2 linked regions of the Astyanax mexicanus genome follow. The main gene of each other region encodes a partner of the protein of the gene in region 2 in a complex. Links are inferred from orthologs where the notes say so. Each region holds a gene or a part of one and is shown on either strand. Other genes may lie near its edges.

The links.
Region 1: the proteins of fgf23 (region 2) and fgfr3 are in contact, whole or in part, in a cryo-EM structure (PDB 7YSU), measured with the Homo sapiens proteins. The link is inferred for Astyanax mexicanus from reciprocal best matches to the Homo sapiens genes FGF23 and FGFR3. Residues at the interface, in NP_065689.1 of Homo sapiens: Ser29, Leu32, Gly33, Ser34, Trp36, Tyr43, Ala45, Ala47, Arg48, Asn49, Ser50, His52, Ile75, Arg76, Ser77, Glu78, Asp79, Ala80, Gly81, Val83, Val84, His117, Gln118, Thr119, Asn122, Gly123, Tyr124, Asp125, Leu158, Ser159; in NP_000133.1 of Homo sapiens: Glu157, Arg158, Asp160, Lys161, Leu163, Leu164, Ala165, Val166, Pro167, Arg223, Asp244, Leu246, Glu247, Arg248, Ser249, Pro250, Val277, Tyr278, Ser279, Asp280, Ala281, Gln282, Pro283, His284, Ala312, Gly313, Ala314, Thr316, Thr317, Asp318.

Annotation. Positions count from the first base shown.
Region 1 is NC_064414.1:26,189,163-26,196,626, forward strand, and holds the start of fgfr3 (fibroblast growth factor receptor 3), read right to left. Parts: upstream 3,137-7,464; 5' UTR 2,558-3,136; intron 1-2,557.
Region 2 is NC_064409.1:30,450,336-30,458,762, reverse strand, and holds fgf23 (fibroblast growth factor 23), read right to left. Parts: upstream 3,092-8,427; 5' UTR 2,874-3,091; coding exon 2,639-2,873; intron 2,511-2,638; coding exon 2,407-2,510; intron 1,265-2,406; coding exon 839-1,264; 3' UTR 350-838; downstream 1-349. UniProt on the Homo sapiens protein: Regulator of phosphate homeostasis. Inhibits renal tubular phosphate transport by reducing SLC34A1 levels. Up-regulates EGR1 expression in the presence of KL. Acts directly on the parathyroid to decrease PTH secretion. Regulator of vitamin-D metabolism.

The sequences.
Region 1 (7,464 bases), on a different chromosome or scaffold from region 2:
ACACACACTGTGGGTTCGTTCAGCTGGACCAAAAACACACAAGCCTTCTCCAGTGACTTCTGAAGGAATATTTGGCTAACAAAGTAGTAGCCCAAATTAGCCCTTTTCTATTCTTACAGCTATTTTTAGACAGATGCCACACACCCACACACTCATTCACACACACTCATACACACACACACCTCACAGTCTCTTCCCAGCAGGAAAAAGCTTGCTAGCTACATCAGACGCCTCACGGCTAAGGCTCTGTTGTGGTTTGTGTTGCTGTAGTTCAGGAGGGAAAATTAAACTAATGAGTTAGCCTGTGACATTAATCTATTAACACTCAGCAGAACTCATCCTCTTTATACTACAGCCTGGAGGACTGTAGAGCTTCCTGCACATCTCACAGAACTGACGCATGTGTGGATTTCTTGTATGTTTAAATGCTAAAAGCTAAAAAGCTCTTTTACATAAATCCAAACAAGAGAAATTAGTCTGTTTGGGTCAGTGGAGGAGCTCAGGTACTCTCAGGGAAAGCACTGTGAGTTCCAGACGCAATAACAATCACTTGGCTTTGACTGAATGAGGCACAGCGAGGTCCTAAATCACAGTACTGTACTATGATACACCACATTAATCTCCTGTACATGTACCGTACTGTAAAAGCTACTAGCTGACATAATTACAGCAAAATAATTATTTACCATAGGCTCCCGGTGCCATCTATATATACTGTATATATATGCATATTGGGTGTGTCTTTCCAACCTCACTCTCACTCACTTTCAGTGTGTAGTCATTCCCTCCAGGCTACCCTTTTCCCTATGTGTTTGCTTGTACGATATTTTGGTCTCATCAATAAAGGCTGTAAGGGCAAAATAACACTTCCTCTGCTGCTGAAAGTGGATTAATGTTGGCTAAAAGGTACAGTCACCACTGACACACTAATGTAGAATTACGTCATTAGAAAAGGTGGCATCTCCAGAGGGTTAATGTTTCAGTCATTAGACGTCTAAGTGGTTAACTGGCCCTAACATATCAAAGCATTAAGTAAAGAAGCTAGTGTGAATTTGAGTGATATCAACTCAAATACACAGTTCACTTGGCTTGAAATGATTTAGATGTTTGAAATATACAACACTGAGTGGACTATACTAACTATAAAACAAAAGTACATCTTAACTGAAGGTTTTTTTTTGTGTATGAAAGGTTGTTCAATGTTACTCTAATAATGAAAGTATTTGTACTATTCTGTGAGCTGTAAGCTCTAGGGTAGTTAGAGTTAATAGCTAGATATGTGGTTTTGGACGCAGCCTAAAAAACTCAACAGACCTGTCTGTCTGAGTTGAAGACAAGGAAATGAGGAAAAGGCACATGCTTAGCTAATCTAGAGCTACTACTGACTCATAAAAAAAATCATAAATAAATAATTATTATTATTATAGGTCAACCCTCTATGGCATGGATTATATTTTTGGGGAGAAACAAAACAGATATTTAGCAACTTTCCGAACTTTTTTTCAGACCACTTTTTTATTATTTTGATAACAAGCTGATTATTTGAATCACCACTGTTTTAACAAAACTGACCTATATAATGTTGCCCAATGGGAACAAATTAAAATACAAATAAATAAATAAATAAATAAATAAATAAATAAATAAATAAATAAATAAATAATAAATAAGGTATGGTACTGAATGGTGTAATAACAACCAAAATAATAAAAAAAATATTGTGCATAAACACATTAAAGAAAAAGCATTTGTCGCTATTTAATGATTTTATATAGACATTTTTATTTACGTATTTAAACATTGTTTTTCTTTTTCATTTGTTGCCTCTGGGCAACAGTATATGGTTAGACCACATTTGTTAGGGGAATAATGCCAAAAAAGCAGTGGTGGTGATATATATTTTTTCAAATATATATAATTAATGCCATAGAGGGCTAGTTAAAATAATAACAGCAACAAACAGGGAATAAAGGGAAAATAGAATCATAAATCGATAGATAAAATACATACAGCTCTGAAAAAAAATTAAGAGACCACTTTTCACTCAGTTTCTAAATCAGTTTATCTTATTTTTCTACTTACAGGTATATTTTTGAGTGAAACTACACATTGCTGTTTTATTCTATAAACTACTGACAACAGTTCTCCCAAATAAAAATATTGTCATTTAGAGTATTTATTTGCAGAAAATGAGAAATGTCTGAAATAACAAACAGTATGCAGAGTTTCTATTCAAATAAAAAGAAAACAAGTTCATATTCATAAAGTTTTAAGAAATCAATATTTGGTATAAAAAAACCCTGGTTTTTAATCTCATTTTTCATGCATCTTGGCATGTTCTCCTCCAACAGTCTTACACACTGCTTTTGGATAACTGTATGTCACTCCTGGGTTACCTTTATCTTCCTCTTGATTATATTCCAGAGGTAAAATCAAAGAAACTCATCATGTTGTCTCTTAAGTGGTGTCTTATTTTTTTCTCAGAGCTGTATTCTGTAATATAACGCTAGGTTATGAATCTTAGTGAAAATAGAGGCACAATAATAGGACTACTTACCCAAACTCCCTCCGTTTTCTCAGTAATCCTTTTTTTTCAGCAGGTAAAGCTAGTTAGCACAAATCACCATAAACAGTTCCTCCACGCGCACACGCACTCATAAACACACACAGGTCCAGTCCACCTTGCTCTGTGCTCGGTGTTCACGCGCTCGCTCGCGCTCAGCGCTGCGTGTCTCCAGCTCATCCAACAAACTTCACTCCACAGCAAAGCCGCTCCACGCGAACTCGTCCAAATAAACAAGCGGCGGCTAGAAAAGCCCCCGGTTCCAGTCAGAGGTCTCTCCGGGCGCTGGGGGACGCGGGGCTGAGGGGCTCCGCTCCGGGGAGGTGTGCGCGTGTTCAGTAAAGAGAGAGAAGCAGAGAGAGAGAGCTCCGTGCTCCGCGCGCTCCTCCTGCCTCGCGCTGTGTGAAAGCCTGCCCGCCTGCCACGGGCTGCCACTAACAGTTTGGAGAGGGATGGAGGGAGAGGGGAGGTTTATAAAAAAGAAGAAAAAAAACACGAGGGATCAGATTTCAGCCCCCGGTCCCTTCGCCTGCCTGCTGCTGCTGCCGCCGCCGCTGCCCCCTCCAGAGCTCACACAGGGCACGGGCTCACAGACTCACTGAGAGAGTGAAAGAAATTAGGGGGCGTGGTTTACGAACACGACCACGCCCCACGCCCAAATCTAACCACCCAATCTGCTCCTCTCCCTCTTTCTCTCTCTCTCTCTCTCTCTCTCTCTCTCTTTCTCTCTCTGTCTTCCAGCGCGCGCTGCTCCCTGTCAAATTAGCCGCGCGCAGCGATCCCAAACCGCTGAACTCCCGCTTGCAGCTGCAGGACCGCGCGTGCCTTTCAGATATAGCTATACACCGCGACCGCAGGAAGGTGCTGTGCTGAAGAATTCACAAACACAGCCTTACAGATAACCGCACAGCCAACAACTAACTGCGCCCCAGCACCAGCTCTCTGCTCTCTATTCTCGGTTCGGGGTTTGTGGCCTGAGGCTGCAGATGGTCAGTGAGAGGGAGAGAGAGTGAGTCCACACTCGCTGACCCTCAGCTCAGATAATGCTGTTATAAACAGTGTTATTAAGTTAGCGCTAGCGCTCTTTAGCCGTGGCCTGGTGTGGTCTGGCTATAAAAGTCCCAACGCCCCCAACCAGAGCTTTTAGTGCATTTAGTGACAGTCATAGGCGTAGGAACCGGGGGGGATGGGTGGGACATGTCCCACCCAATATTAGAAACAGGTGGATTTGTCCCCCCCAAAAATGATATCAGTTCGCTCAGGTCAGCTGTACTATTAATGAGGAGACAGACCGGACCAATCACGGAGCCGGTTCAAGTATTAAGTCACGCCTCTCAGTAGAAACAGCCAATCAGCTTGCTGGTTTTGCGGCGCGCGGAGCAGAGGCAGTTTGCTGTTGGGGAAGCCCCGCCCCCTCGCTGTGAGATTTAGCAGCGGGATCGGGACGCAGCAGCTTCAGCTGATTTTAAAACAGATATGGATATACGGAGATTTTTCTAAAAGAAAGGTAACGATAGGCTAACCACTTCAACTGTGATGATATGTTTCTGATAGCTGGTTAAAAATACACGTCTCTGAATCAGCACACAGTTTAAACCCACTGTGATTAATAAACTGCAGCTGTGTTAGTGTGTAAGCTTATCTTTGGAATTAGCTAGATTGGGAGTCAGGGTTAAAGGAAAAAAATAAAATATATATGTAATGTTTCCCTGTACCTGATCAGCTAATCACTTTAATTTTCAAACTGTTTATTCATTTAGGATTACAGGACTTACTGTGAGCTATAATGAACGAAAATTGATTTAACTAACTAGTTATCTAGAAGCTGGATGTAGATGATCGCCCGAATTTCGTACAGTACTTTAAGTTGGTAGTTTAAAGCAGTTACTTAACCCCGATCACTGCCCTAAACTAGTGTTTTCCACCTGATCAGCTAATAAACAGTCATTTACTGAGTTTACCTGTTAAAATCCTTTAGCCCCCTATGGAGCCTAAATTAATCATGTATATCCACCAGAGGAAGCTCTAGAATATGCAGAACAGTTTTAATATGCAGTAGAATATATAAGAACTGGGTTGAGAAACACTGCTGTAACGTGACTTCTGTTCATTTGTATTTCACAGTAAGACCACTTATCCTGACGTTTATAAAAGTCTGTATGAAACGTAAAGTTACATTCTTTTACATAAAAGGACACCATCTTAAGAAGAGCTCTCAGTAGAAAAAAATAAAAGTGCAGGAGAAAATGTAAATATACAACAGAATTGACATGCCAATACATAATAATAATAATAATAATAATAATAATAATAATAATAATAATAATAATAATAACAATAATAATAACAATAATAATAATCTGTTATATTATTTTAAATATTAGGTGATAACTCAGACATTGCTTGCATAATTTTTCTAACAACAGTAGCTGTAATGTGGAGTAACATGTTTAGGTTGTAAAATCACCTTATAATAATAATTTACTTTTAATTAAAAGTAATTTCCACAAATGTTGTTCTAGGAAACTATTGGGTGGGCGTGGGTTCATATTGGCAAATGTGTCCCCCCCAATATCAAGCCCGCTCCTACGCCCTTGGTGACAGTGATAAATTAATCTACTAGTCTAGCAAGCAGAGGCGTCATGTAAGGAGGTACAAATACTTCATTATTCCACAGTTAGTTCCGACACCGCAATGTGATTGGCTGGAAGAGATTCTATGAGTGCCATTATCAGCCGGTAATAGTCTGTAACTGAAGCGCTTTATGTATTGCTCCGCCACATACAGATAACCTAGCAATGATGCAGCTCCTCTGGCACTTAAACCCCAACGCATCCCATTCATTTCAATAGAGAGACCCACCGCATGCTGGGTTGCGTTGTGTTGAATGCAGCCCTGTCCTCAGGCAAAAAAATTCAGCAGATCTCAACTTTAGTCAAATGAGTCCGGCCACTATGTATGCTGCGTCCAGCCAATCAGGGAACAGCAGGCTGCTATGCCACACACATACGAGCCTCACACACACAGAACAGAAGCCTTTCAAACACAAAAGAGAGGCTAAAAATGGCAGAATATGGATTTATAGAACTATAGATTACAGTGAGGTTTACTAAAAATGTAAAATCTTAAACTTTGACTACTTGATTGACTACATCTGTTGCTTCATTTGAATTAAAAAAACATCACGGACACGCCCACACCCACACGCAGTGAGTCGAGTGATCCGGCATGGCGACATGCGTTAAGGAAAGTGCCAGTGGACGTGCACCGTTACAAACCAAAACAGCACAGTTACAAACAGAGCAGCAAAGGAACTATTTTAACTAGCTAAGAGTTTATAACCAAAAGTCAAACAATCATATTTTCTTGTCCTTTGTAACTCAAAATCTTTCAATAAACAGCGATAATCGAACAGTGGTATAATCACAATAATACACTCAAGGTTCATGCTACAACGTGTAATATTGGCACGTAATATACAGCAGTGCCAATATTTCATGTTAAAGCATTCCCACTCTTGCATTATTGCTTAATTGTTACCTTACTTAAGTACAAATATTAGTTATCTATACTTTACTGGAGTAAGTATTTTTCAGACAAAGTTTTACTTTTACTCCTTACATTTTAACACATTTATCTAAACTTCCTGCTCATTTAAAAAATAGCCTTGTTATTCCCATTTCATTTCAGCTTGTTCTTATTAAGGCTTGCCATCGTTAAATATAAAAAAAACTCTATCCAGATAAATAGCTCCATCCAGATCCAAGAGAACTCAAAAGAACTCTAGCAAAATATCCTAACTATGGTTTATCTTTAAAGTTTTGACTTCACCCTCAGCTCAAATTTGAACAAGACTTAAAAATGTGAGAGGTATTTTGGGAGGGTCATTGGTGATGTATGGGTTTAGAGGCAGGGCAGGAGGGAGAGCTGATAGGCTGAGCTGCAGCAGAAGCAGTGTACTTCTGATAGCTGTGAGATTTAGTGTACTGCTTGCTTTAAAACACAGCATTATTTACTGCAATCGCTGTCTAAGGTATTTTGCTTTTATGCATCTTTTGGCTTAAATATTTAATTCTGATACTTGTCATATTCGAACACTTCTCTCCATTCATCAAAGCAGCAATCTGCGCTTTTACGACAACAAAGCGGTGACAGTGATGAAGCTGGAGGAAAGTCCCAGAGATGTAAATTTGCAGACTGAGCTTTAGTTGTTTTAGTCAGTAGCCTGATAAAATGTGTTTTGAAGCTCAAATGGCAGAGTTGATACAAACGCTGACTGTAAATGAAATGGAGAATCTTTATTTACTGCATTTTTTTGGCATTCACAACAAATTCCAACTGATTTGAGTGAAGGATAAAAACACTGTGTTTAAATCTAAGTGTGCGGCTCAGTGCGTGCCTAAGTGTTTGTGTTTCTCCTCGTATCTACCTGGATCATAAAGCTGTCCCACGTGTGTCTCAGGAAGGCTGATTAGCGGTGTGTAAGTGCTGATGAGTGCTGTAATTCTGTAGAATAAGCACCAAACAAAGACTCAATTACTGCTGCAGCTGTAAACATGTTTGCACTGGGAGCTTTATGAGACCATAAAGAGGAGAAATTTCGTCTTAATCACAGGCACGCTGAGGGGGCGGGTGCTGTAAGAGAGAGAGAGAGTGTGTGTGTGTGTGTGTGTGTGTGTCCTTCAGTAGCTGTCCATCTGTATTTACTCTAGGAGAAGGCCCGTTGGCTCCTAAGTGTTATAATCAGCATGTAAACGCGAAGACCCAGAGAAACGCCCACTGACCTGACTCACGTCAGCACCTTCAAACACACACACAGTAAAATACACATTCTTACACACTGTTTTACACAGACAGTAAAATGCGTCACATAGTTTTAAAATAGCACAAACATATTTATT
Region 2 (8,427 bases):
ATGGCTGGAATCTGAGGTTCAGTACCTGCCTGTTTTTTAGTTAATTTGGAAATAACTCTAAAGAGAACTTTTAAGAGAACTCCTAGTACAGCTCTCCCTGCTCTGCACAAACTAGTACAATTTTCAATTTATTTCATGAGTGTTTAGCTGTGGTGTAGTAAATGCTGTTCATTAGATGTGTGTGTAGAGTTTATTCCAAAATTTTATTCTGGCAAGAGTTTACAGAGCTTTGGGTGCAGTGTTTGCTTTAGAAGAAGTGTAAGACATTAAGCTTGTTGTGTATGTGGATTGAGCAGCTGTATGTTTAGTTTGGACAAAAGAGGAGATCGGGTCTTAGCAAACACAAAAACCTGTAATAGAAGCTATAATTGTCAGAAGTGGAGAAAGGGTTTAAGGAAGATGAGAGATAAAATCTAATGTACAGACAGGTTCCTGTCAGATGACTCGAGACATAGAACAAGAGGCACTTAAAATTCGGGAAAGTCCTTTTATTTATAAGGAAAAAAGCAACAGGAGTACAGTTTGTATTTCCACATGTATTTACATAACAAATGCATCCATATAAATACATAAATAAAAACTAATGCATTTAAATAAATAAATATTTGTATCAGTAAACAATTTCTGTCCTCATATGGTGTCCTGCACCAGTCTGGTTGATTCGGGTGGGAGATGGGAAATAAATACTGGTGTTTTAAAAGGCTTGGGTGCAAAATTACAAACAAAGTGAAACAGTTAAATCAACGCACATCTCTTAAGGTGGATCACCGTGTTTTTTTTTCACTGTAACTGGGCTACAGCAGAGACCACCTGTCTGATCCGACATGGATGAGGCACTTTAACCAGCAACTGCAGACATGCGCGGGCTGCTGGGGTTCCTGGCGTGCACCGCATCCCACGGGTCATCGTCTGAAGGAGAGAGCAGGGCTTCTCTGGACGTATTGCGATCCTCAAAGGGCTCCTGCTCTGCGTCCTCCTCCTGCACCGCGCGGGAGTCTGACTCCTCCTCATAGCCGAGCGCTCTGAGCGGGTCAGAGAGCTCCACCTGCCGGTTCTTTCTCTCTCTGTGCTTCAGGCGCTCCAGCGACACCGTGTTCTTCTCCGACAGGAACAGAGAGGAGCGGGGGAGGTTCTGGCCGGCCGTGTATCGATGCTTCGCGCCGTCCAGGTCGAGCAGGAGGCCGGTCTTGGGGGAGTAGTACACGTCGCGATGGTTCTCCAGAAGCTTGTGGTGGAAAAGACAGTCATCTCTATTGCAAACCGTCTAATCAGAAAAAAGAGAGAGAGAGAGAGAGAGAGAGAGAGAGGCATAAGTTAAAGGATTCGTTTTTTTTTCGTTTATTTAGTGACTTCCACAAAGAAGATTAAATAAACGTATAATAAAGTCAAAACATTACTAAAATAAATACACATATATGCAAAATTATTAATCTATTAGTTTTAAGAATGTTTTCCTAAAGCTTTCACAAGATTAATTTGTGTTCAGGGTTAAGTAAAGGTCTAGTGCATGATCTGCGTCCTTTTTATACATATTTCTGCACATTCTCTGAAAGCGTAGGCATACATATATACAGAAAGGAGCAACATGTTTTAAAATTATCGAGCAGAGCAGTTAATTGTTTAAGTGAACGCAAAGAATGCATTTAATACATTTAATGCCAAAAACGAAACGTTTCGTTTTTGGTATTAAATGTATTAAATGCATTCTTTGCAAATAATTGACATAATTATGCACACAGAAAATAACTTGGTAAGGTAAGAAGTATAAAAAGGTAAAAAGTATAAAAACAAAAAATGTTTGTTTCGTTTGAATGACATAATCTAAACCCTTCAATAAAATAAAACACTATACAGGTATACTCAAAATTAAACGTTTAACTTTTATAATGATATAACGTTGGACAGTACATCATCATGCATATATAATATTACCAGACCACCTGCCTGATCCGACATAGGAACACACAGAACTACACAATTACAGAACTAAACAGCAGATTTGGATGTGGTGTACGCGACCCAAGTACAGTTTCAAAAATAAATATTGGCTTAATTATTTTGGGTTTTGTAAGTCTTTGTCGAGGTAAAATTGATGGGGGATTTGGGTTATGTTGGATGTGTTGCGGCTTGGTTGGGTCTTTTTGTTGTTGTTGTTGTTGTTCCCAACCATTGTGTTTTACACACCCACCCACCATCAGGGACTCAATATAGCACAAATATCATTTAAATGCAGCACTATTAATTTTTATTACAAACCTTTCCGAAATCAGAAAAATAAAAAAAATAAAAAACTTTTTAAACTACTGCAAACTTTCATTGTAGGTCACTATATAGTAATGGAGTGCAGTCACCGTTACGATTTTTACGTTGCGAGAAGAAGGTTTGACTGAGAAACGAAATTCTTACGGAAGTGTAAAGATTCCCCTCTGCGTCCATACACAAGAACCGGCTACTTTTCACTCCGAATATTGCCACGCGGTCTCTGGTCTCGGCTTTCAGTAGAACAACACCTGTTGATGTAAAGAATACTAATGAATATGGAAAAGACTTATTGTCATCTATCTGTATTAAAACGTGCATTTCCCCTTATGCGTAAATATTAAAATTCTGAGATATAACACAAAAAATATGTACTTACTGTAAGAACCTCGCCGCGCACTTTTGCGTACATGACCATTCAGACTGATCTCCAGGTAGAAGTTGTTGAGGTCTGTGCTGGTCTGCAGGTGGATGAATCTTCTCGGGTTGCCCCAGTTGGTGCTCTGCAGAGGAGATGTGTTTGGAGCTACGTCCGCGGGGGCACATCCCTGCAGCGCCGCGAGCCACAGCGCACACAGCGAGTGCAGGTTCAGGCTGGGAGCGCCTTTACGCATGCTCACTAGCAACGCAAAACAACACGGTGCATGAAATAAGAAGAGAAGATCTTTCCTGAGCTGTTGTGATGAGTGAAAGTGATATTCCGGCTATTTAAACGTTTCCCGCGCCACTCCTTGCTCGTAGTTTTTTGCGCAACGCTCGCCCCCATGACAGAAACTGACAAGGAACGGAAGAGCGGAGGGCGGTTTTCTCCGCACACCTTGGTCTGTCTATAATGAAGTTAAAAAGCCGGAACGAGCAAAGCCATAATTGTACTGAGCACAACCTACTTGTGACTGTTACTGTGCCCACACGCCACAAGTCTAATTTCAGGCGTTTTATCATAGCCACTTTTACTCAGTGTTGTTTACAACAAACCACAAACAAGCAAGACTTCACTCTGGCATTTTAGGAAGTGATTTTCTCATCATCACTGACTAACCATCACTTGTTTAAAATCTTAACTTTTGTTGACGTCTGGAATACGACGAGCATCTCTCCATACTGACCAGCAGATGTCGCGTGTGAAACGCAGCAGTTTGTCAGCAAAAAATGCAGGGCACTTTTAAGCCCTCAGGTTCTGTATAAGCCATTACAACGTATTAGGTAACATTACTGGATATGGAATTACACATTCAGCCTGACCTAAGAAATTTGTATTGTTTTATTTTATGTAAATTAGGTCTTTTAACTTTTTTGAGTCCTGTATTGGAAATTTGAAATTGTTACATTAAAGAAAAGTTGACTCATGCTCATTAAAACTGAAATGTAAAAATGTCTCAAATTACCTTAAGGCAATGTAAGTAAGTAACTTTATTATGGTGAACAGCACAACCTCACTGAAAAAAAAACAAGATTTTATAAGCATGGACTATTTACTATTAACCATCATGACCAATCCGTATGTGCAGCAGGAACCTGATCCACACTGATCCACCAGTATGACCAGTTTAGCAGACTTGCCAATCAGGCTAGTAAACCAATATGACCAGAAAAGTTAATAAACTCAAATGAATATAAAAGTTCAGTCAACATTCCAGCTAGTATGTCAACAGTTTTTTTTCTTTTTACTTTTTATTGTTTTTCACTGGCAGCAAGTGGTAAAAAACAGGATAATATGAGTTTAGGAAAACTGGAACAATTGAAGAGAAAACAGAGATTTTCAACAACTGGTTTAGGAGCAGCACCAACTTGTACAGACAATCTTCTGTCCATCTGCAGCAAAAGGGGCTGGACCAAGGCCAGGCAGATAGAGAAGGACCTCTGCCATCCCAACAATGTATTCTTCTCTTTGTTGTGGCCAGGGAGGTACTTCTGTCCCTAGATTTTACACAGGACAACAACTATGACTAACTAACACATAAATCCCACACTGGGCATTCCAAACTTACAATTATACTATTACCTTCAGCTCAAATAGTATAGCATTATTTTGCTCATCACTTTTTGTGTATTTTCAGACAGTCAAGCATATCTCATATATGAACAGCTGCTATTTTCTTTCATATTTCTATAATTTGTCTTTTTAGTGTTTAAAACCCCAGTGTAAAAAGTAGAGACAATATGTGAAAGAAACAAACAAAAACAGAATACATTGAAATTTGAAATTCTATTTTAAAAGTTTTTTCAGTAAAGGCTTACTGTTTTTTTTGTTGCAAAACCCTTTATCTTGTAACCTTCCTTTTACACCCTTAACCGGGAAACATCGACTTTATTTTATAGTTACCGCCATATATCTAAAAAGGGGATCATAAAATGTATTTTATGTTTTATTTTCTTTCACTTATTTTAGTTTTTTTTTTGCATTTGCTCTGATTTTTATATTTATTACATTGTTTTAATTATTTCAATGTCTCATGTGGATGGATAGTAATCAAAGCACATAAGAGCTATGCATGTAATAAATTATGATTCAATTTGAAACAGGGGGGTTTACCACTTACCAGCTGGGTTTGCACTTACCAGCTGGGTTTACTACAGACAAATAAAAAAGCAAGACACTTACATTTTTTATGTCTGCATGAAATAAATTAGATGATTCAATATCATCTATATATCTAATTTACCTCATACCTAACAAGTGTCTTGATAAGCATGGAACAAGTCCAGATACAGATCTTATACAGATCTTTATCTATGTGATCAAAATATCCTTTAAGCTGAACCATGACCTGGGCGGTGGTCCAGCATCACTGGATGTGTATTCTCAGTTGAGAATGGTTAAATGAGGGTGGACTATATTCATTTTACAGCATTATATCAAAAGGTTAAAAATGGCAAAAATAGAGAGCCAAGTTTTCAGTCAGAGACTATTTATAGACGTCAAAAAAAGAAACATATGTTCCTCTACAAAACTAACAGAAGGGCCAGATTACAATTGCAACAAACATGAATCATCCTGCAGAATTTATGAAAAGGATCTCTTAGACGACACAATGAATAACCTGTAGCAGAATGAAGGTAGGAGCAAGACATTGACTGCCCACGATCCAACCACATTTTCTTTGATAGTGTCTAGAAAGTATTTTTGGTCAACATGCTGGGAAAAAATGAACAAGGCAGGATCCATCGCTTCAGTCACCCTCTTTAGAATAATACATATACTATCTTCATTAAATGTGCTGGGAAGTTTCAAATTTTTCTAACAATCTGTTAACATTCTCAGAATCAGGAGAGTGAGTTTAGATGCTCATCAGGACCAGCAGCTTTGCCATATGGAAAAGACTTTATTTATTCAAGAACATCTGCTTCTGTCAGTGGGACAGCATCTCATAGTTTAGATATGTTCAAAGTGTTAAGGAAACAAGCATACTCAGTAAATGACACTGTAGTGTGTAGAGTGTAGTCTAGATATGTGTACAATTGACGTTACATGAAGCAACCAAAAGTGGTACAGTTCATGTACAGTTCAAAAGATAGTGATAATTAAAAAAAATATAGCTAATTATAGGCCAATTTCTAATCTTCCTTTTGTAGCCAAAACTTTAGAAAAAAAAAATGTTTAAGCAGCTGTGCCTGCATCTACAAATCGACAAAACCATAGCACTGAAACAGCTTTACTTAGAGTAACTAATGATTTACTTTCAGCTCTTGATAGGGGCAGTACTGCCATCCTTGTACTGCTAGATCTTAGTGCTGCCTTCGACACCATAGATTACACTATTCTGCTTGATAGGTTAGAAAATCTTATAGGAATTAAAGTATCTGCCCTAACCTTCAGATCATATCTGAGAGATCGATTCCAGTGTGTTTATTTAAATAACGAATGCTCCTATCAGTCTAGAGTAAAATATGGTGTCCCTCAAGGATCAATACTGGGTCCACTACTCTTTACTCTTTATATGTTACCGCTGGGTAAAATCATCCGTAGGCATGGTATTAACTTTCACTGCTATGCTGATGACACGCAACTTTACATATCTGCTAAACCCAACGAGGACCATGCATTCATAACCTCAAGGCTGGACTACTGCGTTGTTGGCTGGAAGTCCACATAAATTACTTCATAAACTCCAGCTAGTTCAGAATGCAGCCGAGAGTGCTCACTAGAGCTAGAAAGTTCGATCACTTTACTCCTATTCTTTCCTCCCTACACTGGCTGCCTGTTAAATTTCGTATAGATTATAAAATACTTCTTTTGACGTATAATCCCTCAATGGTCTGACTTCTTACACCTTATAATCCGGCACGTTCACTCTGCTCTCAAGACGCTGGCCTGTTATTAGTTCCGCATATTAGAAACAACTATGCAGGAGGAAGAGCTTTCTTTTATAAAGCTTCCCAACTTTGGAATAACCTCCCTATTAATATTCAGGACTCAGACACACTCTCAATCTTTAAGTCTAAACATTTCTATTTGCTCAAGCTTTTGAATAATGTCTCATAACAGTTTCTGTAATTTTTCTCTTACTGTTTCCCTGCTAGCTATACCTCTTACAGCTCACACAGCAAACATAAACCCTGCCCAAATCATCTGCTTTCTCTTTCTCTCCCTCATGTCCAGAGCTGCTGCCTCCAAGTGCCCATCCCACTCCAGCAGAGTTTTATAAAACCATTCTAACCACTTTTTTCTTTCCTCCCCTCTCTGTTCTCTCTCTCTATCTCTCTCACATGTGCTGAGATGCCCGGCTGGCCTGAATGTGTCCAACTGTGGTTCCAGCTTTCAGGAATCAGCCCTGTCCTTCTACTCATCAGAATTACAGTCATATGAAAAAGTTTGGGCACCCCTATTAATTTGAATAATTTGTTGTATATATTTGGGTGTTTGAAACAGCCATTTCAGTTTGATATATCTAATAACTGATGGACACAGTAATATTTCAGGATTGAAATGAGGTTTATTGTACTAACAGAAAATGTGCAATATGCATTAAACCAAAATTTAACTGGTGCAAAAGTATGGGCATTGCGTTTGTGCTTGCAGAAATGGCTTATTTCTTATATGCAATTGGTCACCTTAAATACCTTTTCTCATGATTGGATGCACCTGGCTATGAAGTTCAAAGCTCAATGAGGTTACCAAACCATTTTTGTGCTTCAGTAAGTCAGTAAAAAGTAGTTAGGAGTATTCAAATCAATAAAATGATAAGGGTGCCCATACTTTTGCACCAGTCAAATTTTGGTTTAATGCATATTGCACATTTTCTGTTAGTACAATAAACCTAATTTCAATCCTGAAATATTACTGTGTCCATCAGTTATTAGATATATCAAATTGAAATGGCTGTTGCAAACACCCAAATATTTAGAACTAAAAATGATTAAGATTAATAGGAGTGCCCAAACTTTTTCATATGACTGTATTACACAACATTTCTAACTCCTGCTTTTTTCTCTTTCTTTCCTTTCTGTTCTGTCTATCTATTATCTATATTCATAAATTAGTGCCTGTTACCTTAGCTATAGCTCACATTAATTCTTTGTACTGTTACTTTTGTTCTGTTATTTGTTTGTTATTTGTTTCTTACTCTTAAAGCGAGTTTTTTCTTGCCACTGTGTCACCACAATAATTGGCATCTCTGTGGTGCTGCTCATAAGAGGTGTGGACCTGTTCTTCTCTGTAAAGCTGCTATGTGACAACTTTTGTTGTAAAAAGCGCTATACAAATAAAATTTAATTGAATTAAGATAATAAGCAATCTATGATAAAAGTAATTGGATAAGGCTATTACCATCTTTATGAGTAGACACAATGAGTAGACATGCCCAGTGTGGTGGGCAGCCTCCAATGACAATGGGACCTGAATTCAACTGAATACACTACAAAGACAAGATATATAATATTCAAACAGATAAACTTTATTAATTTTTGCAAATATTCACTAATTTTGAATTTTGATGGTGCAACACATTCTAAAGAACTTAAGATAGAGGCAAAAAAAATTAGGAGGTTGAAGTTGAGGAATGCTCAAAAATTTTTGGAGTTGTGATTAATTATAAAAAGTTTATAAAAAGTGTATGAAAAGGAAATGCACACGTGAATAGTAAAATGTGTAATTGCAATAATTTTCTGGGAGAAATGCATGATTTTCTTAAAAAACTTAAGGTTGCTAATATCTTTTGTCTATGACTG